Struthio camelus: one gene and its partners. The protein of the gene in region 2 interacts with the protein of the main gene of each other region in a pairwise test. Links are inferred from orthologs where the notes say so. Each region holds a gene or a part of one and is shown on either strand. Other genes may lie near its edges.

Evidence for each region.
Region 1: the proteins of LZTS2 (region 2) and RAD51D interact in binary tests that used the Homo sapiens proteins (3 or more experiments, as listed by UniProt). The two-hybrid records come from large-scale screens. The link is inferred for Struthio camelus from reciprocal best matches to the Homo sapiens genes LZTS2 and RAD51D.
Region 3: the proteins of LZTS2 (region 2) and TNIP3 interact in binary tests that used the Homo sapiens proteins (3 or more experiments, as listed by UniProt). The two-hybrid records come from large-scale screens. The link is inferred for Struthio camelus from reciprocal best matches to the Homo sapiens genes LZTS2 and TNIP3.
Region 4: the proteins of LZTS2 (region 2) and GEM interact in binary tests that used the Homo sapiens proteins (3 or more experiments, as listed by UniProt). The two-hybrid records come from large-scale screens. The link is inferred for Struthio camelus from reciprocal best matches to the Homo sapiens genes LZTS2 and GEM.

Annotation. Positions count from the first base shown.
Region 1 is NC_090957.1:14,879,292-14,886,670, reverse strand, and holds the start of RAD51D (DNA repair protein RAD51 homolog 4), read right to left. Parts: upstream 3,017-7,379; 5' UTR 2,980-3,016; coding exon 2,898-2,979; intron 2,091-2,897; coding exon 2,029-2,090; intron 1,665-2,028; coding exon 1,546-1,664; intron 688-1,545; coding exon 606-687; intron 1-605. Other genes in the region: UNC45B (protein unc-45 homolog B), read left to right, coding at 4,624-4,715, 5,578-5,620, 6,243-6,404, 7,125-7,161. UniProt on the Homo sapiens protein: Involved in the homologous recombination repair (HRR) pathway of double-stranded DNA breaks arising during DNA replication or induced by DNA-damaging agents. Bind to single-stranded DNA (ssDNA) and has DNA-dependent ATPase activity.
Region 2 is NC_090948.1:15,894,946-15,901,775, reverse strand, and holds the start of LZTS2 (leucine zipper putative tumor suppressor 2), read right to left. Parts: upstream 3,017-6,830; 5' UTR 2,961-3,016; intron 583-2,960; 5' UTR 514-582; intron 1-513. UniProt on the Homo sapiens protein: Negative regulator of katanin-mediated microtubule severing and release from the centrosome. Required for central spindle formation and the completion of cytokinesis.
Region 3 is NC_090945.1:19,789,718-19,796,861, reverse strand, and holds the start of TNIP3 (TNFAIP3-interacting protein 3), read right to left. Parts: upstream 3,015-7,144; 5' UTR 2,912-3,014; intron 1-2,911. Other genes in the region: QRFPR (pyroglutamylated RF-amide peptide receptor), read right to left, coding at 5,296-5,699, 7,042-7,139. UniProt on the Homo sapiens protein: Binds to zinc finger protein TNFAIP3 and inhibits NF-kappa-B activation induced by tumor necrosis factor, Toll-like receptor 4 (TLR4), interleukin-1 and 12-O-tetradecanoylphorbol-13-acetate.
Region 4 is NC_090943.1:149,190,820-149,197,945, reverse strand, and holds the start of GEM (GTP-binding protein GEM), read right to left. Parts: upstream 3,005-7,126; 5' UTR 2,857-3,004; intron 873-2,856; 5' UTR 864-872; coding exon 533-863; intron 1-532. UniProt on the Homo sapiens protein: Could be a regulatory protein, possibly participating in receptor-mediated signal transduction at the plasma membrane. Has guanine nucleotide-binding activity but undetectable intrinsic GTPase activity.

The DNA of each region.
Region 1 (7,379 bases), on a different chromosome or scaffold from region 2:
ACAGCAGCCAGAACCAGCAGAAGTCTGGTTTCAAGCCTCCTGCCAGGGCTGCCCTGTGCTCTGGGAAAGGCTGAAGGCTGATGGAGGAGACAAAGCCAGTGCCTGCCCACAGCCTGTTTTCCCAGTGCTTTCCTCTTATCTGCACCCCATGCAAGCTGAAAGGGCCAACGATTGCCAGTGGCAAAATTGCTCCGACGGCCTCACAGCCAAGGCAGCCACCTGCAGCAGCAGGGTCCTTCACCACAGGAGCTACCAAGCTGGAAAGAATAAAGACTTCCTCTGTTCAAAAGGTCACACCAGCCTCACACCCCAGGTTTGGATCAGGTCCCTCCTTCCTGTGCCTGAAAGCCTGCAATGTAGGAGACCAGCATAGGGAGAAGGTGGGAACAGATGGGTTTTGCCAAAAGCTGACAATAGCTTTTTTCCCCCCTCCTCCTTGTGTTCTCATTAGAAACCATCCAATTAACCAAAGGTAGGATGGGGTGAGTCCAGGTTGTGTCCTTAAATATAGATTGCAGCATGGGTCCAGGGAGAAGTCACCTTCCTCATGCACTGTAGCATCATTTTCATCATACCTGTCCACTGCCCTCCTCTGTCCTGCTCACCTGTGTCTTCCCACTGCCAGGCGCTCCCATGAGCTCTGTCACTTCCCCTGTGTACAGCCCAGAGTCCAGCAGCTTGTCCAAACTAAGGGTTGAACACAAGGGTGGAACTATTTACACACCTTCAGGCAGAAGGGCAAGGGCATTGGGAAGCAGCAATCCCCAGTTATTCATCCCTACAGAGGTCCCTTTCCAACTGCAGATGAGTGGCCCAGACTCTGCTCCTTCCCCCCTTCCCCTGGGTCTCTCCACATTCTGGAGAGCAGCAGAAGGCCTGCAGTGTCATGTATAAGAGGACAGTCCTGAAGAGGAGAAGAACTGTGGTCTGAGAGCTCTCAAGTTGTGAACACCCCAGATTTCTCTGCACAGTCACTGCAACCACTCGGTGAGGCAACTGGAGAAAGGGAGAAATAAGTCACAGAAGAAGAGCACAACTTATTTCTGTGCCTGATCTAGATAATTTGGACCATCATCACTCAACCCTCCTCACAAGTCTATAATCCTCCTCTCTAGAGCGCTAAGGAAAGGGTGAAGGGAGCATGTCATCTAGCCTAGAAGTCAGACATGCTAATCACTTTCCAGGAGAGGTACAGGCTCTCAGGAGGACAACAGCAATGCCATTCCCTCAAGGGGCACAGACTGACTTGAGTTTGCAGCCATGGTTTGGGCAGGATATGAAGAATAAATGTCTTCGTTCTCATCCTAGCACCGCAGAGAGGGCTTCAAGGTGGAGGAGAGGCTGAGACCATAGGCAGGAGAGCTGCAGCAGCTCCACGAAGGAGCGCTGGCCATAGCACCCCAGGTCCGTTCCACCCTCGTCCCATCTCACCCTGCACAGTGCTTGAAGCACCACCTGGCTGAAACCCAAAGCCCAGGCTGGACTGTCTTTCCACAGAGAGTTTCCCACAGCCAGACCTGTTTGCACCCTGGGCAATGTACCCACCTGGCAATCCCAGTGGACAAGATGGCCGTGGAGCTCTTGAGCTCCTCATAGAGGTCTGCTCCATTGGCAGGGAAGGCCGAGAACTGGGCCAGGAGCACGCGCCTCACAGCAACCAGAGCCTGGTGGGCAGAGAGACATCTGAAAAGGCAGTTGAGGAAGTCTTGGGCTAGGGCAGTGCAGGGACAACACAAAACAAACGGTCTCCATTGCCCTGGGCAACTGTGGGTCCCACACGCTCCAGCAACCCACCCAGCGATATAGGGTGCTGATAGCACAGTCCCCATTCACAGCTTGGGCTCTTAAGCACAGTAGTAAAATACTGAGCGCTCAGCACAAGGCTGACTAACACAGAGCCAAGCACAACAGAGAAACCAATGACACAGGAGAATCAGAAGGTCCCTGTGGACAAGTCTGACCAAGCACTGAGTTGAACAGCTCTGAGCTCCCAGGTTAACGTAACAGGACTTACAAGTCTCCCTTTACCTTGTAAGACAGGGAACACTTCTGAGCAATGTCCTCCAGGTCTGACGATACAAAGTCCACCACTGCAAATAACATGAAGAACAAGAAGTTGGAGGCCAAACCATAACAGACCATCAACACCAAAAAGCTGATCAGCTCCTGCAGGAAATATCACCCTGAGACTGCAGGATGACCACATGCTTGGACAAAATCTACCTTTAGGCACTGACAGCTAAAACATTCCTGTGCCTCGGCCGATGCTCTGACCAGGTGAGCAGGATGCCCCGCGAAGTGGGACAATGGGGTTTTTCCTCTGAGGTGGCACTGGCATCACATGAGCCCCATCCATTAAGTTCATTGCAAAATGAATTAGGGAGAGGCTAATAAAAAATACTCCCTAGTTGTGCTCAAGAGCTGCCCAGGACCATTTGATAGCTAGAGTCAGCCAAGACAGGGCAGTTCTGCTAGTGCAGCAGAGCCTGTCTCAAGGGGCTAACGACTGACTCAAAGTGCCAGCTCAGGACATGCAGAGAAAGGCAAAAGTCACAGAAATTAGGGAAGAACTACTAGCCCATTTCTGCCCCAGGAGCCACTTTAAGATTTCTTTCTTAATTGAAACATGTACATTAGGCATTAAAAAATAGTAAAAGGCAGTTCTCACGGGGAAGAGGAGGATTATAGCATCCGTGGCTTGGGCACTCACAGGCTCTCGACCCAAGGCTCCCTTTAACAAGGATAAAGCGCTTCATCCTTTATCAGAGCCAGCAAAGAGCCCACCTGGAGCCCACCGGCAGCGGGGCCTGGCCCAGAGCGCTGGCAGCTACGAGGGAAAAAACACACGCAAAACCCTCAAACGCCTTTTAAGAGCCGCGCCCGGCGCGGCCGCTCACCCGTCCGGACGCCGCCCGCCCCGAGGAGCCGGATCGTCTCCGCGCCGAGGCCGGGGCAGAGCCCGGCCCGCAGCAGCGCCATGGCCCCGGCCGGCCCCGCTCCGCCCCGCCCCCGCGGCCGCCCCCGCTCCGGCCCCGCTCCGCCCCCGCGGCCCTTCCTGCTTCCCGCGGAGCCGCGCGGCAGCGGCCCGCTCACACCCCCGCCTAGCGGCTGCGCTCAGCCGGGCGCCAGCCCGCTTCAAAACGCGGAGCCCGACTTGAAAACCCCTCCTGCTTGAAAAGCAGGGTGACCCGAGCAGCGAAGGAAAGCAGAAATACCTCCACCTCCACCTCCCTGACCCCACCAGCCCCAGCAGGGGAGGCTCCAGCTGGCCCTAAAGGGCTGCTAGCACAGGTGACAGCGACGCCCTGGCTCCCAGGCCCTACACCACCCACCCCCACAAGAGCTGGGTGTTTTTGGGGGAGGGGGGTAAATGCTACTGGTGGGGGTAATGTTGGAGGAGTGTGTATTAGAGATTGGGGCAAGCATGTTTAAAAGTTAGTTTTAAAAGGGAGTTTGGTTTAAAAGGTAGGAGGCAGAAGTGAGGCTACTGTAGTCTTGCCTTGTAGAGTGCTTTGTGCTTCTGGGCAGAGCTTATTCCTCTCTTAAAAGTAAAGCTCACTTCTGGAGCTGCCTCTGGCTGTGATCTGAGCTCCTGTCTGCCCGAGCAGGCAGGGAGGACCTCTGTCAGGTGCTGTGCCAAGAGCTGTGAGTGTGGTGGGGCAGGCTGAAGGCCTCTCGCAGGAGCAGAGCTGCTGTGGTGTCCCAGTGCTTGCTGGAAGAACAGGTATGCACACAGGGGTGAAACTTTGGCTCTTAACCTCCAGGGGCTCTTGCAGAGAAGGGTCTGTGCTCTGTGTCCTGTTCAGCTACCCTAAACTTGCATTAGGGCTTTGGGGGTAACTCCAGGAAGGATCAAATGCAGCTCTGCACCAAGGAGCTGGTCTTCAGTTAACTGCCCCATTGAACCGAAGTGTGATACCGGCGTGCCTGGTACGGTGCACAGCTACTCCCGTGGCCCAACTGCTTCTCTAGAGATGCTGAAGTTCATTTTGGTGGTTTTGGGAGGGCAACTTAAACACTGAATGTCCTGCCTTTTCTTCTGCAAAACCTCCTATCAGAACACAGCTCGAAGCCGCGAGGTGAGGTGGGATCCGAGGCCGGAACGTGGCAGGAGCCGCTCGCGCGCCGATGGGCCTGGCAGGGTCGCTCCAGGCTGCTGCCTGAGCAGCAACAGCTCCTCCACACAGCTGGCTGCTGCCCTCCTTGTCCCCCGGCGATGAATTTCCCCAGGAAAAAATGCTTTTTTGCTTTCCCGGGTGAGGCCTCCAGAGGGCTCCCAGGGTTTGTGGCTGCACGTCGGTGCTGTGCAACTGCTGTCGTCCGCTTCGGCAACGGCACAACCTGGGGAGCTGCAGACCGCGGCCGCTCTGTCTCGAGCATAGGTAGCATCAGACAAAACTTTATTTTGTAACTTAATGTGTTTGAAGTACCTCCAGTATTGCTGCTGGTGAAAATGAAGCCTTTATCTGGGATAACTTAAGATATCCTGGATAACTTGCTATATGCCACAGGAATTACTGGAATGAAGAAAGCTGACCCTTCTCCCACACCTAAAGCAATACGAGGAGGTGCTTCCAACGTGTTAGTCAAAGCAGGCCCTGGAAAAGCTGTGGTGCCAACTCGATGCGTGGCGGAAGTGGCTTCTTCCGCCCTCCAAGAGGTGGTGTCTCTGCAGGCCCCGTGGATCCATCGCTGCGCTGCTCTGCTCTCAGAAGGTGAGGGCCTGAAACTTCTCCGCAAGGGGACGTGATGCAGAGACCTTCAAACCTCGTTGCGACCCCCTCCGGTACAGCTAACAGGGACAGAGTGGCGCTAGTTGGTAGACGTTGAAGGAGCTAGACGTGAGCTGATGTAGCTCGAGGACTGCTGGACAAAGCAGTCTTGTGCCAATTCTTTCTGCGTAAGACCCATAAGCTGTGACACAGAACACCAGCACTAAACGTAACCTAATTTTTTTCTTGGCAGGGCCCTAGAACGGAGCACATCCCCTGGCATAGCTCAGCTCTGCTCCATTGGAGCAACAGAGCAGTTACCAACCTGCCCCTGCTTCCCTCGGTCAATAGTTTCCCCAGTCCTGTTGCCAGTTCCCCCATCCGTTCTGTAGCTGGGACGCTGGCGGTCGCACTTAGGAGCTCGTGGCCTGCGTGTTGGAGGAGATCAGGCTGCAAAGCAAAATTCCCGATGCTCCGTGGCCTGAAAAATATGTAGGTTTGAAAGGCTCAGCTCTGATCTGGAGGAGTTCAGCAGTTCTCTCTCCTGGCCTGCGTCGCTCAAACTGAGACCTGAGGCTCTCGTTGCAGCAATGGGCCAATGCGCTCTGGGCCAGACCTTTGTGCTGGACTGCGCCCAGAGGGCTGCGAAACGGAGAGGAGGAGGCAGCACTGCGTGCGAATCAACTTTCTTTCCCAGCGCCTTCTGGAAGGTGCTGGGCGCTGCTGCAGCTGCCGGCCTGGGGCCATTTGCTCTGGCAGCTCAGCTGTCTCCCGCTTCCTTAAATAGAAAAGGGTCTGAGCACTGGGCTGGGGGTCAACTCTCCTGGCTGTTTTTTTTTTTTTTTTTTTTTTTTTTTTTTGGCAGGACCCTCCTCTTCCTGCACCCCCTGCCCGGCGCTGCTCCGCAGGTACGGCAGCGCTGAGGTTTGGTTCGGCGGCGGGGACGGGTTTCCTGCTGGCTGCGGAAAGACGCTTCGCTGGGGCGGGCAGGTGCCCCCGGAGCCGGGCCGGTCGCGGGTGCCCTGGCGTGCAGCCCCCCCTGGGGTGCTATATAGCAGGGGGAGAGGTGGGGACAGGCTGCGGTGACAGGCGACGCTGACGGGCCCCAGGAGCTGCCGGGTCCTGCCCAAACTTGGAGCGGGAGGTGAGGGAGATGGGCTCTTTCCCAGCTGTCCAGACCGTCCGCGGCGCCTGCTGACTTCGGAAACTTTTTTCTTTTATTAATTGACCCTGGAGGATCTGCAACGCCAGGAAAAACTTTTGGGAAGCCACAGCCTGGAGGAGCAATTTGGGCCTTGGTGTTTTTGAAGGCTTCAGTCCAGTAACCTGCTTTTATTGAAGTGCGTGTTAGTTAAATGTCGGGATCAGAGCGCAGCTTGGCTTGATGGCCAGACTCACCCGAGGGAGTACGCCAGCGACCCTGTCGTACGGGAGGCTGCAAACGGAAGGGGCACAAACTGATATATATATTTTTTTAAATTCCCAGGCAGGCTAAAATTTGCATCTTTTTTCCCCCCCTCTCCTCTCCAGATGGAGGATCCCATCCAGCTGAAAGAGGAGGGCAATAAATATTTTCAGGCCAGCGATTATGAGAAAGCCATTCAAAGCTACACTCAGGCCATAAAGCTCAACAAGGACAAGGCGCTGCAGGCGGTGCTGTACAGGAACAGGGCGGCGTGTTTCCTGAAAAAGGTGAGAGAGGGGCTCCCGGCTTGCCCGGGTGGTGCTGGCCTGGGGCAGGAGGGGAGCGAGAGCCGGGATGCAGGAGCAGGGCGGCAGCCGAGGATGCTCGGCAGCGATCAGCTGTGCTGTTAATAAAACCCTGAGAGATGGGGACCAGCAGCCGGAGGTCGCGGGGGTTGCTGGAGCACAGGCAATGGTTTACGGAGCATGGGCTCAAATCTGTTCCTCCCTTTGCTGTGCGAGCCTGGCATCCCCACGGCCAGCCGGCCTCGTGCAGGCGCTCCCTGGAGATTTCCAGGCGGTGGCGGCACTGTGTGAATAGCAAGAGAAAATAGGTGCTTTTCCAAGTCGCGTCTCAGCAGGAGCAAAGCTCACGCTGCGCAGGATGTGTCCCCCTCAGATGCTGCTGGGGGCAGAGGAGACTCCATGGTTTGGGTGCAGAGGCTTCTCTCCCGCTTGCCTTTTCCAGCATAAGAGAAGCAGGCATGGATCTTAGCGCAAAAAGAAAAGTTATTAGAATCTGTAGCAAAACCACCTCAGCTCCCTGAAGACCTGCCATGGGATTTCAGATCGCTTACGTGTTCCTGAAAAAGCGTGTTACTTTTCGTTTCTCGTGGCGTCTGATTAGTAAGTGGGAATAGAGAGGTCACGGTGTGCATCGGTAACGTGGATATATCCTGCTAATCGACTGCCCTGCTAACGAATCGTCCTTCCTTCCTGACTCGACAGGAGGAATACGTCAAGGCAGCCTCGGATGCGTCTCGAGGTAAGGAGGAGGCTGCTTGCAAGAAGTGAGCTGTGCTTGTGGGTATGCTCCCTCCAGCCTGCTCTCGCATCTCCTTTTGGGGCCCTGTGGTCTTCCTGCTTCAAATCCACTAATGCCCAAGTGCTTAGCTTGGTTTTGAGGCTACAGGGAAATTAATAGAGAAGATGCAAAGGATAACGTGCTTACACTAGCTGCAACACACGCTGTCTTTACAGCTT
Region 2 (6,830 bases):
GCGCGCGAGCGAGCAGGGCATAAAGCAGTTGCCAAGCTCTTTCCCAATCCCACAGCACGCTGCCTGCCCCTCTCCAGTCTGGGGGCTCTGCGAGTGCCCCTGTTGCTGCCCTGCGGCCCATGCCCTGGGCGCACGCGTTCGGTGCGTGCCCCCCCTCCCCGGCCCACACCATACGCCCGCGTGACATGAGCCAGCCGACGGGCCGGATCCGTCCCCCGCTGCCTCATCGCATCTCGCACATGGCTGCAGCTGGCACAGGGCACGAGGAAGGGGGGTTGCTGCCCGCATGGTCTCGCCTGCTGAGCTGTCACCTGAAATCAATCCGCCTGCCAGCGCCCGAGGGGGCAAGCAGGCGGGGAGGGCAGAGCAGGAGGGGCCGGGCTGCCAGCACCCTCCCCTCCCCTCCACCACCACGGGCACGTGCCTTCCCCGGGCACGGCGACTTTCCACTGTACCCAGCCCGATGCCCCAGCGCTGCCGCCACGGGGGTGCGGGTGACGGCCTTCCGCTCACCTCGCCAGTCGCTGCCCATTCGTCTGGCCCGCTCAGGTCCCTGCTCCGCGAACACAGCTCAGTCACCCCCTGCAGCAGGAAAAAGAAAGAGGAGGGGGTCAGGGTGCAAAAAGCACCCACTCCCAAATCACCCCACATCAGGGCCCGAAGGGAGATGGGGGGGCTCACTGCACCCCCTGCAGCTTCCAAGGACCAGTCCTGCACCCACTCCCCCAAATTGACATGCTTGCTACCAAGCCCTGCAGAGGTGCCAGGCAGAGCCCTGCCCATCTGCACCCTACCCAGCATCTCCACCCAAACCGGTGGTACCGTACCCCCGCCACAGGGCTGGGAAAGCAGGGAGGGCACTGGGGCCATGCATCAGCACCTGCCCGCCTTCTCCTGGATGGCAGAGGACAGAAACCAGCTTGCCATGCCAGCTGACTGGCACAGCCCTGCGCGCTCAGCCGTGGGCTAACAGCGGGGCGTGCGTAGGCCGCTGTGCCCAGGGCCTCCAGCTGGGCTCGGTCATCCCGGGCCCAGCGTCCCCGCCAGCAGAGCCAGGCGAAGGGCTGACCCCGGCCCTGCCCTGCAGCCGGGGCTCCTTGCTGCTCAGGAGCTGCCAGGCCCCCCAGCACCATTTCCAGCCCTGCCAAAGCTCTCCGGCCGGCAGGTCTGGGACGGGCAGCGCCAGCGCGGCACAGCGGATGGCCAAAGATGCCAGGGTCTAGTATGCTGGTCCTGGCACCCCCCCACCCCCCAAGAATGGGATTATCAAACATGGTGATCTGTGGGCGACATCCCGCTTGGGAAACTCCTGCACAGCCCCTGCGCTGCCTCACCAGCCCCTCCGGCTCCTTTCCCTGCACTCAGTAGGGGACACGGCAAGGGGACGGCGATGGGGAGCCAGCCCGTGGGCACCTCACACCGCCTCACCTCCCACTCTTTGCCGGACCCCTCCTTGCTAAACATAACCCCCTGCCCTGTCCTGCAGCTGGATCCCAGCACCCTGCCAGCCCCCAAGGGGACAAGGCCACCACTAGAGCCCGACGGCTCCTTTTCTCTCCGGCTGCAGATCAGCTCCCAGCCTGGGACAGGGAGCCCTGGGGGTGCCACCCCACCGCGCATCCCCCGCCGTGAATCCCGGGAGCTGCGGCTGCGGAGAAGGGATCCTTCTTCACCCTCCCGCAAGCTCCGATCCGCCTCCAGGGAGGGTCCGGCAGGCCGGGGCCTCTGGAGGACGGAAACTTTCAGCTGGGGACTCGCCAGGCCTGCCGGCGGCGAGCGCGGCCTGCGAAACGCCCCGGCGGCGCCGAGCGGGCCGGCAGGCAGCTCTGAGCTCCCCAGTAAAACCAGTTAGTAACTGGGCCGGCGTCACTGCCGGCGAACTCAGGTGGGAGCACAAGGAAGCAGGATCCTCCGGCTCCCAAACGCCAGGCACGGGGAAGCTCATCCCCGCCGCGCTCCCGGCCTTGCCGCGGGATTCCCACCTCGGGCCACCAGAGATTTCGGGGCCCCCGCACCTTTCTGAGGGGGCTCAGACCCCACACGCCCCTCGCAGTGCCCCCCAACCGACCCCACACCCCCCCCCCCGCGCCTGCCCCACAGCTCCGTCCCCTCGACCCACAGCAACTCACAGCTGCCCCACACTGCTGCCTGCCTGCCCCTCAGTGCCCCGCACCCCCCAGTGAGCCCCACATGACACCCCCCCAAAGTGCCCCATAGAGCACTGGGGTCTCTGCTGCTCTATAACACCCCCAGAGTGCCCCACAGAGCTCCTGGGCCTCTGCCACCCCATAGTTCCCCCCAGTTGCCCCACAGGACCTGCAAAGTGTCCCCACAACAGCCCCAAAGAGCCCCATAGAGCATCTAGGCCTCTGCCATCCCGCAACACCTCCCCAAAGTGCTCCCACAGGACCTCCAGGCCTCTGCTGCCCCATGCCCCCCCCAAGGTGCCCCACAAAACCCCCAAAGTGCCCCATAGAGCACCTGGGCCTCTGCTGCCCCACAGGGCCCCTAAAGTGCCCCACAACAGCCCCAAAGTGCCCCATAGAGCACTGGGGTCTCTGCTGTCCCATAACACCCCCAAGAGGCCCCCCCAGGACCCCTAAGCCCTTGCTGCCCCACAGCCCCCCCAAAGCGCCCCACAGGACCCCCAAAGTGTCCCTCAGAGTTCCTGGGCCTCTGCTGCCCTACAGGGCCCCTAAAGTGCCCCATAACACCCCCAAGAGGCCCCCCCAGGACCCCTAGGCCCCGGCTGCCCCACAGCCCCCCCCAAGTGCCCCACAGAGCACCTGGGCCCCTGCTGCCCCATAGCTCCCCCCAACTGCCCCACAACAGCCCCAAAGTACCCCCCCAGGACCCCTAGGCCTCTGCCACCCCCGCCGCCCCCCGCGGGGCCCCCCAGAGCCCCCCCGGCCCCCGCCCCGCTCCGCGGCGCCCCCCGGCCCGGCCCAGCCCGCACTCACGCTCGCCCCGCGCCGCCGCTCCGCTCCGCGCCGGCCCGGCCCGGCCCGCGCCAGGCCCCGCCCGCCGCCCCCGGCCCCCCTGGCCCGGCCCGGCCCGGCCCGGCCCGGCTCGGCGCGGGAGCCCGGCAGGGGGGCGCCCTACGGACGGGGCGCGGGGCAGCGACGCCGCCGGCAGCAGCGCCGGGCCGGGCCGGGGAGCGCCCTGCGCGGCGGGGGCCGGGGGGGGGGGGGCCGTGGGGCTCGGGGTGCCGCGCGGCGGGGCGGGGGTGCTGTATGGGGCTGGGGGCGGGCCGTGCAGTGGGGGGCCCTGCACAGGGTTATGGGGCGGGGGTGCATTGGGGGGCTCTGCATGGGGCTATGGGGCGGGGGTGCTGTGTGGGGGTTATGGGGCGGGGGTGCATTGGGGGGCTCTGCATGGGGCTATGGGGCGGGGGTGCATTGGGGGGCCCTGCATGGGGCTATGGGGCGGGGGTGCTGTGTGGGGGTTATGGGACGGGGGTGCATTGGGGGGCCCTGCATGGGGCTATGGGGCGGGGGTGCTGTGCAGTGAGGGGTCATGCATGGGGCCATGGGGATGGGGGTGCTGTGTGGGGGTTATGGGGCGGGGGTGCTGTGCATTGGGGGGCTCTGCATGGGGCTATGGGGCAGGGGTGCTATATGAGGGCTATGGGGGGGGGGGGTGCCACACGGTGGGGCGGGGGTGCTGTATGGGGCCTACGGGGCTGGGGTGCCATGCAGTGGGGGGCCCTGCATGGGGGCTGCGGGGTGGGGGTCAGTGGGGTGGGGAGCAGTGCCGGGGGCTGTGGCCCTCTGTTGGTGCCCCACGGCTGGGGCGCCCCGCTCAGCCCGGCCCCAGCCCCGAGAGGGGACTCACGCCGGCAGCTCCCCCCCCGGGGCCGACCCCGCGTTCGGCCAGCCAGGCTCCCCAGAGGCTCCCCAGAGCCTGGGCGAGCCCCTCCGAAACCCCCGGAAACCCCCCAAAGCCGCCCTGAAGGAGTCGTCCCCCAGAGGTGTTTGGGGTGCCCCCAGCACCTTGTCCAGGGGAACGGTGGCCGGGCTCTGCCCCGTGTCTCTGTTTTGCCCCCCACCGTGGGTGGGATTTTGCAGCTATTCCCACCCGCTCTTTGAGAGCTCCCAAACTGGGAGACAACGGAGAAAGAAAATCAGTACAGCAGCAGTTTGGAAAGCCGCGGGGCTGGATTCAGCGGCGGGCACCCCTTGAGCAGGTGCAACCGGCAGGCGCCCGGGGACACATCGCCCACCCAGGGGGTCCCTGACGGATCTGGGAGGGAGGAGGGCTGGGACCTCCCAAGGCCAGTGGTCCCATTGCTTGGGACCCCCCTGCCCCCAGGGCTCGGCTCCACCGCCCCCTTCCCAGCCCTGAGGGGTAAATAAGGAGGGAGACGGTGGTCCTGAGGGTGCCCTGCTGCCCCAGCTCGGAGGGTGCAAGGATGCACCCTGCGCAGAACATAGTCCTGTGAGGTCTGCCCCACTCCTAGTCCTTTAACCTTGCAGCCCCCCCCCCCCCCCCAACAGCATCGTCCTTTGGCTGGATCAAGGGGAAACTGAGGCCAGCGAGCTGGATGGGTGCACCTGGGCTGAGCGTGGATGCCCCGAACCCCAGCCTGGCACCTGCCTGCCTCCACACAAATCCTCACTGGAATCACCCTGGCACTGGGGAGAAATGCCACCAGGGCAGTGATGCCACCAGACCTGCCCAGGGCCTGGCTGTGGTGCTTGTACAGCGCCTTATGCACAGGAGACACCATAACACCGCCAAGCTCTGCCCCAGCTCCCTCCCCAACAGCCCGCTGCCCCCCACCTTACCTCCATTTGGCCAGGATCTGCTCCACAACCGAGACCCTCCTCCATTGCTTCTTGCACCCCTGGCCTGTCCTGGGGGCCTAGCCAAACTCCCTCCTCAGGCTCCCGATGCCTGCGCCAACAGCACCCAAGGGTGCTTTAACAGCCCCAGGGAGCTGGTGCACCCCAGAAAACAGCAGCTGGGTGTGTACCGCCTGCCCGCCCCAGCCCCTCATTATGGCTCAGGTTAAAACTATGCCCCGTGCGGAGGCAGATAATAACTCACGTGCCGGGCTAAACACACGGCGGTGATGGGCTGTGACCACGGGGAGAGCTGTGGGCAAGCCCCAGCCAGCACCCTCCTCCCTGCCTGCGCTAACCTCCCCGGGCATCCGGGCCAGCCGCTGCCCCCTTGGCTGCCCTGGGTGAGAGAGGGGGTGGAGGGGAGAAAGCAGGGACTTCTCCTGGACAAAGTCCAGGGGACAGGCATGGCCAGGCCTCCCCGCCAGAGCCCATCGTGCTGCCTCCAAGGAGGGTGGAAGAGGCTGGTGAGGGACCTTGGACAGAACAGACCCAAGGGAGGTCCCAGCCCCATCGATGGCCTCTCTCCTTTCGCTGCTTATCTTTAGGGTGGGATGTTCTGGCATGCGTCCCAGTCAGTAGCATCTCTTGTCAAGACATCCCCATAACCCTGTCCCTCTGTTTGTCCTCCTCCACCCAGGAGTTTATGGCACCAACCTGGTCCCTAGGCTCCAAACCCAGGAAACGCAGACCAGTCCCCATTTGAACGGGGGCAGAAATGTGCTGTTGAGGCCCACAGGCAGATTTCAGTTGAGCCTGAGCCCTGGAAACTCCCTGTGGGGCAGACATGCCCAGCCCGGCAAGGGCCCCTCAAGGACATCGCCTCCCTGACCAGGGTCCCCCCAGCCAAAGGGTGACGTGATCACAGGCAGCAAAGGACAGCAGCATAGGAACAGCACTCAGATTTCTGCTTTAATAAAACTATAAAGGAAAACAAAAGGATTGGACCAAGATCCGACCGTGGACTCTTCCTGCCACGGCAAGGACCAGCCAGGTCACAGTGTTCACCACTAAACGCTTTGAAAGAGGGTCCCTGGGGATGGACTTGAAAAGTCTCTGGACCACTGCTGCCACATTCAAAGCCCTGGGTGAAAGCAGGGCCAAGAGGAGGGGAGACCACAGCGCACGCCTGGCTCCAGGGCTGCCCAAAGCCGCTGGCCCAGAATGCTGGCACCCCTCTCCAGCCAAGCCCGGGGGGGGTCCCCCAGGGGTTTTACTGCTGGTGATGCCCACAGTGGAGAGACAGGACAGGGTAGACCAGGGCGTCCTGGGGCAAAGGGCAGTAGTCGAGCAGGCAGAGCTGGCAAGCTGCACATCCCACCTGCTGGCCAGCAGAAGAGGAAGCAAACCCTGCCTTCAACCTGCCACATTTCCATCCTCACTGCTCAGGCGCCACCACCATGGGGGTGGCAGCTCCCACCTTTGTCAGGGCTTCACAAGGCTCCCAGCAGAGACCATCCAGCTCCAGGCACCCCAGGCCAAGGGCCATCCACAGTATCCCTCAGCATCCCTCTACAACCTCCCTCTTGCTGACCCCATCCCAGTCAGGACCGAGCACAGCACTCCTGAAATCCCTATCCGAGACAGGAGGAGGTCTCCGCAGTCCCACCATGCGGCCTCTCGTGGGGTCCACGACGATGGCCCAGAATTTTGGCCCAACAAGTTTAGCAGCACGTTAATAAAATGCTCCAAGCCCAGAGCCCCAGGGCTACAGGTTACTGCCCCTGGGCCCTCACCCAAGCCATGGCCCACTCCACGCTCTCAGCACTCAGCACCAAGATCAAGTGACCAAAATTTGCAAAAACATCTGTCTAGGACACAGAAAAGCATCTGCCCTGCACCAGGAGCACCTCCGCCAGCGGCAGCCTGCAGGGAGCCAGGACCGCCCCCAGCTCTCCATCCCTGGGCAGTTGGGAGGCAGCACAGCAAGAAAAAGGCTCCTCTTCTCCAGCAGGATCCCATTCGTCCTCCCACCACGGCCCTCAC
Region 3 (7,144 bases), on a different chromosome or scaffold from region 2:
TCATGTAGGTACTTAGCACAAATAGAACCTAACAGCCAATATACTAATTGGGATGTTTTGTTTTGTCTTAATTAAAGTATATGTTAAGATGTACAGCCATGACTTATATAATCCATATCTCCAAGTGTGCAGACTCTGCCCTCAGGATGCAACACCCTCTTTAATGGAAGGTAAGTACTAAACTGTGGGGGGGGGGTTGTTGTTGTTGTTGTTAAACAAAGAAGCTGATACTCATGAAGTTCAAAGCATTGAATCAGCTGTTATTCAAAACCTGATAATATTTCTTTTTATACTTAAGTATTAAACGTAAAACTGTGGCTCTGCCCAAAAGAAAGCAACCAGAAGAAAGCCACAATATTATCTTGATGAAGTCAACTAAGAACTAACTCATGATTCTACACATCATCAGGGTGGGTCCCTAGGAAACTGAAACCCTTAAAAGGCCCTCTCCTTCTTGCTCTTCTCCCATATGCCTCAAACCCTACTGCCCCCTACTCCATTTTTAAATGCAGCTCCAATACCAGAATTCAATACAACAGTTTAATATTAAACAGCCTTCTCTATTCAAAACTTATCTGACTAAACTTTGAGCAAACCCAGAAGGAATAATAAACTGGAGGACTTGGTTTTCTTTGCCTTCATCATCTTAACTACATGAGGTATCCTGCTGAAAAATAAGTAATCCCTGCCTTACTGCCAACTTGATCCTCCTTCCCAAATAGCGTTACATAAATCCTCCCCATCAGCTTTTTATGATTTCCTTTACCTGAACTATTGCCCTGGAGATGAACCATTGTATGGGTGTACAGTTCCAAAGAAGCTAGCAGGTATGAAAAAGGTTCCATGCATATCTTTGTAGAATTAGGTCCACATACTGCAAAGTCTTCCAGAAAAGGAATACACCTCTCCACCGGCTTGTAAAGCATCAGGTAAACAATTTTAAAAAGATACTAATAAGACTAGCTACAAGTATAAACAGTATATTGTCCTTCCTTCTATTCTCCACAAGCTGTACTTGAGGTAACAGCTGTTGGCTGCTTCTTCCAGGATCTGCAGTTGTCACTGTCTCTAAGTAGTGCTGGCTCACCGAGTATCCCAGACAGTGTTTCTTGCTCCATGCCAGAAACCTAGCATATCAGAGTCTGCTTCAGGGATGAGACTCACACAGCTTTGCCCAGCCAAAAACAACTCAGCTCAACACCCGATCCAGTCCTCAGATTCCTCTGTTAGAATTACCTGATAGCTGACAAACACAACTTTGCCTACTAGTGACCGAACAACGCATGGTGGAGTCCAGATATCTAGCAACCCGAATAAAAAGAATTCAAGCTATGGCTCTCCTTCATCTACATTTAATCAGCCCCTCTAAAATAGATCTCACATTCTCCTGCGCATGTACTATGCACTTAATTTGTTTGTTATTCCACACAAGTGCTAACTACACATCCAAACAATACACAAGCAAGCACCACGTTCAGTTCCTCTTCCGTGAAACTTTAAAAGGACATCTAATCCGTACCTAGACGTTCCCCCCTCTTTCAGTAGCACAAATGTCTTACGAAGAACTTGCTAATGCTACGAGGGACTACAAACTCTCTATTCAGGTGTTCGTTATATTCAGATTCAAACTTTTTATGCCTGCACAGCACTGTGTTAGCCCATAATAGAATCAAGCGTCTTAAATAAAAGCATAGTTCCCTGTCTATTTGTCAAAGTATTACAGCCCAGAACATAATTCTATAGGTTAAAAACATACCCACAAATAAAGCCATCTGATGGCCACTGAAATTAATGTTGCGTTGTTCCCTCCCACTCCCCCCAAAAAAGAAAAGTTAAGAGCAAAAGAGTTGCTTCTGCTGGGAAGTAATTTCACATTATATTTACCCTCCCTCTCTTGGAGAGAATTTTTTAAACAGTTACCCTGTTACAGACACAGTCACTGGAAGGGTTAATTTCCTTCTACCCACAGTTCTTCATGATGTCAATACAGTCTGAATGCAACTGAATCAGCCATAGCAATACCACATGTCCTATGCTTTTTCCCAATCCACTCATATTTCTAGAGTCTCTGTTCAGCTGAATGTGTTCTTTCAGACTTGTATCTTCATTTACATGCCAGTTCCTGGTATTATCTCATTGTAGCTTTAAAGCTGATAAGCCGTAAGGCACCTTATACAGCGGAGAATATGAAAAGTTTCTCTTCAATTTGGACCACAAAGAAATTACAGTCCTTTAGACTGCTTCATGATTTAAGTGATCTGCAGCTAATGCAGATCAGAAAAAAACATTTTGGGGGAAGCATTTTTTCAAAAAACACAATAGTTTTATTAAACACTCTCAGCTTAGGGAAAATAGATTGGTTAAAATTAATCTTTTCTGTTCACAGGTTAGCCTTTACCCAGAAAGTCTTCTGATCTGCTTCATCATGCAATTCTACCAGTGTAAGAGAGGAGGAAGCAGGCAAGCTGGGGAGGAGAGCAGGGCTGTTCCTTCCATAGCAGTGTTAGCTTTCACTGATTTGAAGTACTCAGTAACAGCCAAACACTTGGAAACACATGAGACACTGCAAGAGACAGACTACCAGTCTGGACAGAAAATTGGCCTGATTCAATACAACAGGTTGTTTTGTTAGTTAAATCAAAGCTGAGGCTTTGATAAAACACACACTCCCCCAAACACAAACCTACACAAATGCACATATAGGCAAAAATCTAAATTCTGCTTAAGTCAATAAAGGTTCTTCTATTCCTTGCAGCTGGAATTTCTCACAAGATTTTCTGGCTTTGAGAGAACTACTGTGTCAAAAATGTACTGAAGATAATAGCTTATTAAGATGTAAGACAATTGTCTGAAGTAGTTTGGCTTATATTTAATCTAAATCTAATCACTCTGCCTTTGCTGAAACACTTACCAATTCTCTCCTACCAAGATATTGGAACTTTTGATCTCTATTACCTTCTTCTGTAAAAAGTCCTCTACAGCACATCTGTAAGGATGACAGTAGAAGCTGGTACCTGAAACAGAACTGAAACTTAATCACTAAAAAAAAAAAAAAAGGTGCAAATAAGCTGATCTTTAAAATAAAAATATACTGAAATATTGACGTTTATAGAATGCACTTCCAGTCTAAAACAGCACCATAAATATCAAAATGGAGTTTTAATGAAAAATACTACAATAATCACTTGTTGACGTTACATTTTATGAGACAACAGAAGAAACAAACAAAAAACCCAAAGACATAGAACACCCATAAGTTTTACAAAGTAACTGTCACCTTTGCTGTTCAAACCCGTCACTGAAATCACCAGTACAAATAAAAAAATAAAGAGCTTAACATAATAAAGTGATTTTCAGTTACAGAATCTGTTAAAACACATACTTCTCATCAGGAGCCTGAAAACTTTGCATCAACTGAGGAAAAGGATGATAATAAGCCAGTTTGAGTCTCTAATCTACATGGCAGAAATTTTACTAGATGACCTCTTTCGGGAAAGATGAAAGACTGAAACGAAGAGCTGGACCCTGAAGGAAGCCACAGTTATAATCACAGGCAAATACTGTTGCTGTTGCTTACCAGCAGTATCAAGGTAATGCAAAGAGGCACGTTTGCCTGAGTGTCTGAGGCAGAACCTGATTTCACTCATGACATTTTACCCAAACATACCTCTTTGAAATTGGTGTTTTTATCTAATACATATACTAAAGTGCTCTCAATTTCTGGCTGTCAAGACAAGTCAGGAATCTTAACCTGTCATTGTGTCAGAGTATATGAGATAAAGTATAAATAATAATATATATTTAAAATAAAGAATATATCACAAATCAGCATCAGAATACCTAATGCAATGGAAATTTATGAACATTACAGAAGGACCAGATTACTTCTAATTTATGCAAGCATAACAAACTAGATTTTCATTTACAGTTTTGGAAGTGACAATGTGAAAGCATCTCAAAAGTTACTGCCAAGGGAGCATCAAGGTCCCTGAGGTGAAATAAGGGATGACAGAAAAGAGCACCAACGATCACAACGTGTTCTTAAAGGATCCAGCCTAATCTCAGCTGGAATCTCAAATTATTTCAGAGCCCCATTTGTACGATCAGATCACAATATAACATTCTAGATCACATTTTTTCCTCAGGCCTATATTTGTAAGGATCTTTGACAGTTTCAGTTTGGCTCGCTGACAATTTTCAGAATTCATATGATTTCAGCCTTGTAATTTGCTGGAAAGCCTAAAAATAATAGAACACTGGCCCTGTTTTTAGACAATGATTTATCTACTTCGAAGGTGAGGGAGAGACAACAGAGGGGAAAAAAAAAAGAAAAAAAAAATCTGTGCTTGACAGCAGCAAAGGGCCCGATCAAAACACCATGTCCTAAATTGAAAGTTGTCTGTCGAGTCCATCAGGCTCTGGGGCTAGTCCTTATATTCCTCCAGAACAAGGCAACAATACTAATTTAACCCATAAGCCATGTATCTAAAACACAACCTCAGGTAAAATTCATTTCTTACTCTACAGAACACACCTCTAGCATCTGCAGACACTCGATTTGTATAGCACTCTCAACTTCTACGTTTTTCAGCAGGAACAATGCTGTTTACAGGGCAGTACACTTGCATTTGTATTTGTACCCAGAGAATTAACCTGTAAAAATAGCACATTAATTATGCACACATTAATTTCAAATATGCTTTCTGCTTAGAAAATCTGAGCAAACATGCAATGTAAACATCTTCATCTCTTCAAAGTCAAATTCTGGCTAGCTCCTTCATATACTTTGCAAAATAGAACTGCATCTCAGTTTGTATTTTTCTTAAACTCAGATCTGAAGTTTCTCTGTCCTCGGCGTGCAGATAGTAGATCTCACAATGTCAGACCCAGGTGAGATTCCCAAGCTGTCCAAAGGAAGCATGCATATTTTCCATAGTTTATATCTTCTGGCAACTGTGTATCTACTTTCAACTGTGTATGGTTCAACATGGTTTACAAAAAGTAAACAAAGCAAGCGGCAGTTGTTTGGTTGACCTAGAGCAGGGGGCAAAAAAGTCCTATGTTACCTCAGGAAGAAAAATATTTTTCTGGAAATCATGCAGTAATACTGTTTTCCAAACTTTTATTCCTCATCTATAAAGTAATTAGTTTCTCAACCATTATTCAGACATTATCATAATCCACAGAATATTTTTCCCCTCCTTGCACACAATGTAGAAAAAAATATTTAAAATGGTTTGTTTAAAGTTATCAAATACAAGGAGTGCTTTTTCCATTCTAAAAATCTTTGTGATGTTACTGTCCACTTCTTAACGCAGAATGCACAGTAAGGTCAGAGCTGAATAAGGTAAGGTGCCTTTTCAAATTCCTTTTTGAAGCTGGCTGATCACAGAACTTGACTTCTATGTTGCCGTCGCTGAATGCCTCCCTCCTGGCCTCATCTGAGTCAGTGGGATCTCTTAGAGAAGCACTTGCCTTTTGCTGCCTCATAGTAATCCCCAAGTTCCCGAGTTGCCTGGCTGGTGATGTGTTTTCTTTGACAACGCAGAAGCAGATGGCAGACAAAAAATTTTTCTTGAAGTTTTCATTCATAAAAGCATACACAATAGGGTTGCAAATAGAATTGAAAAATCCTATAATTTGGACAATAGCAAAGATCATTTTGACTGTCACATCATCATACTCCTTTTCAAAGTCACCTGGAAATGAAAAAGGAAATATGCTGTAGGTATAGAATGGTATAAATACCCATTACTAAGCCCATTTACACCCAATCTGGCATTAGAAGCTTTTGTCTAGTAACCTCCAGCAAGGTGCTTTCTTGGTAATTTTAGCAATAGGATTTCACTAGCCAGCAAAGATCAAGACCTACCACATAGCCCTGCTTTTGTATATATGTAGGGAAGAACAGTGTAGTCTGAAGGACACAACTCGTGAGCAAAAAAACAAATGAACAAATAAACAACTTGTCCAATGGCCAAGTGACAGAAAGCTTCCAGTCTGCTGAGTGTAGGCTCTGACTCTGCGTCTCACATTCATGAGAAATTTTCAAGTACTCTACCACGATAACACTAATCCCCGTCTTTTCACTGACCATATGCAGCTTCTTTCTTTGTGCTGATACAGACGAGTTCATAGAGTAAAAATGCATCTTCCTGGTGATAGCTCACATTTTAATTACTTGATATCACAGAATTCTCTGAATTTCTTGAATTCAAATACTTGGCTAAGCAGCTTTGGAAGACACTGCACAAGGGTTTATATGGCAAGTTAAACAAGGCCTTGTAGCAGTGGAAACAATCCCTGAAATTAACAGTGGAAAGAGAGTGAAGTGTTACACAGAACAGTTCAGGGCAATCTCAATAGGGGGCAATCCAGATAATTTTTGAAAGTTACAGCTTAAGCATTTCTGGCTCTGCCCAGGCACAAACACCACTTGCTTCAGCTGACTGGCTGTAGCACTACTGACTTATCTGCTATGCCCTTTTCCGCAACAGAGAGAAAAGAGATTAACTGTTGCGTTTGGCAAGTAGAGCACAACTGGTACTGAATAATTCAGTGTTCCTACACACGGCAAACTGCACAGTCCCACCTGCTATCACTGCACCTACACAGGAGGAGGGAGACACAGTGCCCTCTCCCCACCCCCTCCACAAAGTCTAGCACAGTTTATAGCAAGACACAGATCTTTAGTGCTACAGCAGGGAAGAGAAGACGGGGCTGATACAAGGATTTCTCAGATATATTACGCTCTCAAACACTACAGCTAATAAGAGGTTTTTGAAATGTACTTACGTTTTCTGTGAGCACTGTAGATCTGTCTGTCACTCATAGACTTCAGAGTAATTCATCTGCTGTTGATTATGTATCTCTATTACAAGACAGTGATCCAGGATTTATAAGCACAACGTTAACCTTTGCTAGCAGAAGGTACATTATAGCTGAATGCTGCAGCAGCACTAGCATTTCACAATCTGTGGTTCCATTATTGCAAAAAAACCTAAAAAAGACTTTATTGCATGACACATGGCAGATACTCACTGTATTCTATCATCATATGAATCACATGGAAAGGGGCCCAGCAGACTGCAAAGAGAAACACCACTGTCACCATCATAACAATTGCTCGCTTCTTCTTCCTGAA
Region 4 (7,126 bases), on a different chromosome or scaffold from region 2:
CGACTTCTAACGGCAAATATTTTGGAGGTGATCAAAGAACTGGATGGGGAGGGGGTATTTTTCATTATATATTATTTTTAAGCATTACATTCTAATAAAACAAGGGCATCTTCTTTTTTTTTTTTTTTCTGTCCCGCACAGAAAGTAGGAATTGACCCTGTGGAGCCAGTGGTGACATATTTTGGACATATGTGTGAGAGCTGAACCAGCCTTTCCCTATAACACAGGCACAGGCAGGAACATAGCAGCTTCCAACAGGTATTTTAAAATGAAATAGCATGAGAAGCTACATTGCTGCCTTGCAGAGGCTTTAGATCCTCATTAGTGAGGACCTTAGTCCTCGTATCTAATTTTTTTTGCTTGTTTTCTTAAGAGAGATAGATGTGTTGGAATCAATTTTGATGATCAGACCCAAGTGTTGGTTACCTCAGTTTCAGGTTAAATGGTCTTGCTAATTTTCTGTGCCTTAATGCCATTGCTACTGACAGGGCTGCCCTCAAGTAAACAAGCGCCCCAGGCCATCATGACCTACCTCCTAGCACCTCACAGTCGCTGTCAATGCTGTCATGTACCCCTGCAAAGATGTTGGCCAGCGACGACTTGCCTACACCGTGTTCCCCGATCAGCACCACCCGGTAGCAATTGCTGCTGGATTCAGAGGAGATGACGGAGTCAGACGACTCCGAGGACCAGCTCCTTCTGTAGTAATCGTCAGGACTGATGGTGTATCGTTTCTGTGCATTGTATTCATTGGAGTCCTTCTGGACCAGCGGGTGCTTTCCATCAGCAGGGATGCTCCATCGCTGCTGCTGCTGCAAGCCACTGTTGTTGGTGCGACGCATGGTAACATTGTTGAGGGTCATTTTTTACCCCTGGTGAGAAACGTGGAAACGACAAACATCACCCACAAAGCATTAGAAATGCGTTAACACCCTCTTCCCAACCTCAGGACAGTATGTAGAACCCTACAGAAGAGCTGGACTATACAACAACAACAAAAAAAGAGGCTTTCTGCACTTCTTTGTTGCTGCTGGTACACAAAGAAATTTCTAGTTAGTGAGTCAGAGCTGCAGCTTTCATCCTAGGGACAATACCACTGTCACATGCTAAATCCCAGCTTTGTGCTTTGCTTAGCTGTTGCAGGCTCACTGCTGTACTAGGTGCAGCGCAGCCCTGGAGATACTGCAGCATTGCTATGTCCCAGGAGGAGAGCAAAGGGGCAACATCTGCCAGCGCTGTCATGCCTGGGAGCCTGCATACAGCTGCATCCTCAGTGAGGCAGCTGATGGGACCCTGTAGGTGCCAGTCCCCACCCTTCATGCGCAACTGTGGGCAGAGGGACCAGCCGCAGTCACCTCCAGTTCCACTCCAGTGGGTGTAAAGGGTGAGCACGGGCGCACCCCACGGCTGCGCCCCATTCCCTACATTCTCCTGGCATAGACAGGCTGGTTCCTCCAGCAATGTCAGCCGTGCACACCAAAACACAGTCACAAAATAAATCCTATTTTGCTTGCAATATCGCTCCCATTGCCTCAGTTAAAAGTTTAATCTTTTGGGAAAGTAAAACGTGCTAGACAGCCCTCATGCTGGAAACAAATGATGCAAGCAAGTCTTGTTATAATGTATTTTGAATAGATTTTGATCTCAGCTATAGCAGGACAAATAAAAAATAGCTATCGCACAGAGTAGCATTTTGGCTGGTAAAAGTGAGGATGCAACCAAGTCCAGTGGCTTTTCTGAGGAGATACTGAATCTGACCTCTAAAGAAGGTATCACTGAGAGTAAAAGCTCATAAAGTTACAGATAGTAAGTCAATAAATTAATTTACCACAAAAGCTGCTCATTCACATTATCTAAGAACGTTTGTTCATCTTACACAGCTAGTTAGCTCACCTTATCTATGCATGGCTCTTAATTACATTTTACTTTGCAAACTCTATTTTGCCTTGGTTGGAAGCAGAGTGCAGTGATGTCATTTTCACAGGCTAACAGCTACCATTTTTAGGAAAGATCCTTTGATATATTCCAGTTTCCAAAGTGACAGTTATTTAGATATTTTACATTTTAGCATATGTCTGATGTTTCTTAGCTCTCTTCTCTATATTAATAAACAGCATATCTGTCTGCACAACGCATCAGACCACTTTCAATAACAAATTTTGAATATTTTGAATAAGAACTAGTGAATGAAAATAATTGCAGCAACACATCAAAAAGACATATACAAATTGTTTTTCCTATCCACATAAAACTTTATGAAAACTTCTTAGAATAAATGTGCAGCAGGTCATAGAACAAATAGGCAGAAAGAGCACACTCTAACTAAACTTATTCCAACTTATGTGATATTTTCACTGTGACGCACAGTACTTTGTGGCAAGATTAGATCATATGCATAGTCTAGTCATAGTAACTTTGCCAGGAAAAAGCATACGTAACTAGAAACCTCGCACCAAACGAAGACTGCTTCACAAACAAAGTGAAGTTTTTCCAGTACTTTAATTTTAAAATCCATTTTTTTCTTGTAGTTTCCCCTCTGAAACAATGCATGAGAAAAGCCACCTCTAATCCAGTCAAACAATGAACAATCACTAAATCACTATCTTCAGTTAACAGTCAATCAATAAATAGTCCAAATCATAAATATTTTATATTTTTTCCCTTAACAAATTATCATCCTTCATTAAACAAATCCAAACAAGAGAAAGTCTTATAACTCACTACTGCACATAGCATTCCCACTTCAAATTATTTTTCATACCACAAACTGCATTTAGCATTAGCTATTTGGTCTGTCATTTACTTATAGTAAAATACTGCATTTGGACCAATGCATTTCAGCCAACACTGCCTTACTTTTGACGGGCTCTTCCCCGCAGTCAGGTCCTTTGCTCTCCCTGCCCTTCTCTCTCAGTGGAGTGTGATACACTGAACTGGTCTGCCAAAGCAAATCCTCTTCTACTTATGGGCTGCCTCTTTAATTCGCTCTCAGCAAACCTGGTTTATATTAAGCCCATCTGATCAGAGACAGGGCTTTTCCGTGACGTGTTTGGCCTTTCCATACAACAGCCAGCCCCCAGCTGGGAGGAAGCGGACACGCAGAGGAGCAAAAACTTACAAACAATCTCAAAAGCTTTCCTTGAAACCATATGATTCCCCTAATGTTGCCAGTAAAATAAACATGTTTGGTTCTCACAAGATGAAGACAGGAAAGTGCAAAAAAAAAATTATATGTGCTGTTTCATCATCACTCAGTTTTTCAGTCAAGTGCTATTAAAATTGATGATGTTTAAAAAATGGCATAAGCTTTATTAATGCATAAAATGCTGCAAAAGTGTTATGTTGTCTCTCTGCAAAAAGCAACTGACTATCTGGTGGATAAATGTTTCTTTGGAATAAAATATCATAATGTTATTTTGAAGATATCTTAAAAGCAGGAGGATTATTCTATTTTTTTCTGAAAAAGAAGTTCTAATACATAAGATCCTATTTTTCCTGCTTCTCTTAGCCTCCAAGTCACTGCATGCAGTTTTCTGAATCTCATAATCAGCTCTCGCTTCTGCTGTAACCCTTTACTAGCAAAGGTTTAAAAAAAACAGCAGACCACAAATTCTGTGTTGCTCCAGCTTGACAGTGGCATAGATGTATCAGCATTAACAAGCACAAAGTCAGAGTAGCATAGTGCTTATGCAGTCCATAGTTTATTAGGAAAGATGAATATATAGTGTACGTGGCGCAAAACAAGGGCCTGCTCCTTAAATTTTAACAAGCTCAAATGTCATTGGCACAAGAAATTCTGCCAGGAGGAAAAAAACTGTAATACTGTGCCACTGGGGGACACTCCTAACAACATAGAGAAGGTACTTCTCGATTAACAGATGAAAAATGAACTGCTTGGTAAGGATGCCACAAGTTATATAAAAGTATATGGAAACTCTATAGTCAGCCCTCAATTATCTAAATTCTGCGTTATCTATGATGAGCTCAAAAACAAGCTCAGAAAATTTTCCTTTATATTTACAATCTCCTGGTTAGTCTGTTGTCCCCTAAAATCAACGTGTGACTGTAATTTTTATGTTGCACTTTAGTTTGAACAACTTGATCCATTTCTGAACAGGGATAAGAATTTTTTTTTTCATGACCCCATTCTTTTCAGTTACAGACAAGTAAGCCTTTAATTAACCATATATCTTTATTAAAGAGAACAGTGATATGCAGAAAAGAATGTCTAGTACTGTTTGGTGTCTAGCACTTATTTCACATACCTCTACATTTTTATGCTTTGATTAAAACCTGTAAACCGACTTGTTTTCCTGTGAAAACATAGACCTTTCACAAATTCTGCATTGGAAATATGCTCGTCTTGTTTCCCCTTTGCCTTTCTTGCATTCCTGTGTCTTTCTTGGGGATTTTCAGGCACCTTCTGAGCCTATTCTCAAGCCTAAAGAGATGAGAGCCCAATAGAGACCATGTCCAAGTACGAGCATATTGCTTTTCCAAAGTATATGCTCATATTAACATACATGGAAATTATTCATATCTACTAACAGAGTACTCAGACAAAACTTACTGCTTGGCAGTAGCTGAGCTGGCCGCAGATCCTGCGTCCCCACTCACCGGTCCTTAGCACAGCAGGCTCTGAGTCTGTTGCCATGTGGTCACCTCAAAGAACACAAAACAGCTCATCCTCTGCGCAGCACATATGCAACAGCTCTGTACAGCATGGCAAAACCCAGCAAAACCTCTGTCAGGGAGAGTTTAGTGTTACCTTTATGGCATGGCCAGCAGTTTCTAGGAGGAACACTTCACTCTTTTGCTGCCTGCATACTCAGCTTCACTTTCAGCGTTGCTCGTTTTTGCAATGTGCTGGAAATCACAGAATCACAGAACGGCCAAGGCTGGAAGGGACCTCTGGAGATCATCTAGTCCAACCTCCCTGCTCAAGCAGGGTCCTCTAGAGCACATTGCACAGGATCGCGTCCAGGCAGGTTTTGAATATCCCCAGGGAAGGAGACTCCACCACCTCTCTGGGCAACCTGTGCCAGGGCTCTGTCACCCTCACAGTCAAGAAGTTTTTCCTCAGGTTCAGATGGAACTGCCTGTGCTTCAGTTTCTGCCCGTGGCCTCTTGTCCTGTCACTGGGCACCACGGAGAAGAGACTGGCCCCATCCTCTTGACACCCTCCCTTCACATACTTGTACACCTTGATGAGATCCTCCCCTCAGTCTTCACTTCCCCGGGCTAAACAGGCCCAGCTCCCTCAGCCTGGCCTCATAGGAGAGATGCTCCAGTCCCCTCATCCTCTTTGTAGCCCTCCGCTGCACTCTCTCCAGTAGTGCCATGTCTCTCTTGAGCTGGGGAGCCCAGAATTGGACACAGCACTCCAGGGGAGGCCTCCCCAGGGCTGAGGAGAGGGGCGGGATCACCTCCCTCCACCTCCTGGCAACACTCTGCCTCGTGCTCCCCAGGAGACCATTGGCCTTCTTGGCCACAAGGCCACACTGCTGCCTCACGATCAACTTGTTGTCCACCAGCACTCCCAGGTCCTTCTCGGCAGAGCTGCTTGCCAGCAGGTCAGCCCCCAACCTGTACTGGGGCATGGGGTTATTCCTCCCCAGGCGCAGGAGCCTGCGCTTGCCTTTGTGCAGCTTCAGGAGGTTCCTCTCCGCCCAGCTCTCCAGCCTGTCCAGGTCCCTCTCAATGGCAGCACAGCCTTCTGGTGGGTCAGCCACTCCCCCCAGTTTAGTATCCTCAGCAAACTCGCTGAGGGTGCACTCTGTCCCTTCCTCCAGGTCACTGATGAATAAGTTGAACAAGACTGGACCCAGCACTGACCCCCGGGGGACACTGCTAGCTACAGGCCTCCAACTTGACTCTGCGCCACTGACCACAACCCTCTGAGCTCGGCCATCCAGCCAGTTCTCAATCCACCTCACCGTCCACTCATCTAACCCACACTTCCTCAGCTTACCTACGAGGATGTGACGGGAGACAGTGTCCAAAGCCTTGCTGAAGTCCAGGGAGACAACATCCACTGCTCTGCCCTCATCTCCCCAGCCAGTCATGCCATCAGAGAAGGCTATCAGATGGGTCAAGCATGATTTCCCTTTCGTCAATCCATGCTGACTACTCCTGATCACCTTCTTGTCCTCCATGTGCTTAGTGATGACCTCCAGGATGAGCTGTTCCATCATGAAGGTGACAGCGTTACTGGAGTACTGTGTTCTGCATCTTGCATCCATTTAGTTCTCTTTAACTTGTCGGTAATTTGTCACTACATATAAAAAAGCAAAACATATCTACCATGGGAATGGAGAGATTTATAGTCAGATTGATCTAAGCAGAACTGTGGGCTCTAACGTCTCACCTAAATGATTAACTTATATCATAGTAGAAAGCACAGACAGTAGAAATAAACCAAAGCACAAAAGCACTTGTGTTTCATTATGGTTAGTCTTAGATCAGGAATTGCTAGACATCATCTTGCATAAATTCTTCATAAAATTCAAGGCAGACAAACGAAACATGGTTTTCTAGTGATCACACAATGTATCTCTTCTATAAGACGGTCCACAGGGATTGTCCCAGCTATGACATGAAGGGCTTGTATTTGGGAAACTTGCACACATATTTTCCCTTGTGTTTTCTTTTCTGAGCCTATTTCCAGTTTTGCCGACTTGACAATTAACTCTCCATGCCTGTTCTAAACTACAATATGCCTCCTTTCCTCCTATAACAAAGATATCAGTCAGTCCTCAGGTAATGTCATCAGTACCCATGAATTCCAATCCTTGTAACTGTGGAGAATTTTTTTTTTTTTACTTTTTTTTTAAGCAGGGGAAATGTGCAGCATCCTAAGCCTGCTGGTACTTACAAAGGATAATAGCAGGATGACTAATGAGGCATATGAATGGAGCCCTTCTCAATAAGGCTGATTATAGGCTTAAATTTCCAAATAGAAGCCAATAGACTGATGGATGCACATGTGGCTCTGGCAGCTCTATCTTCCTGCACTCTTTGCTGGTCAATGGTTCTGTAACTAAAACTGCCTGAGATACAGGCATGAGAAGAGACAAGCATAAGGCCAGGTGCTGTCATAAAGCACAGGAACGCTCAGTGCGGCCAT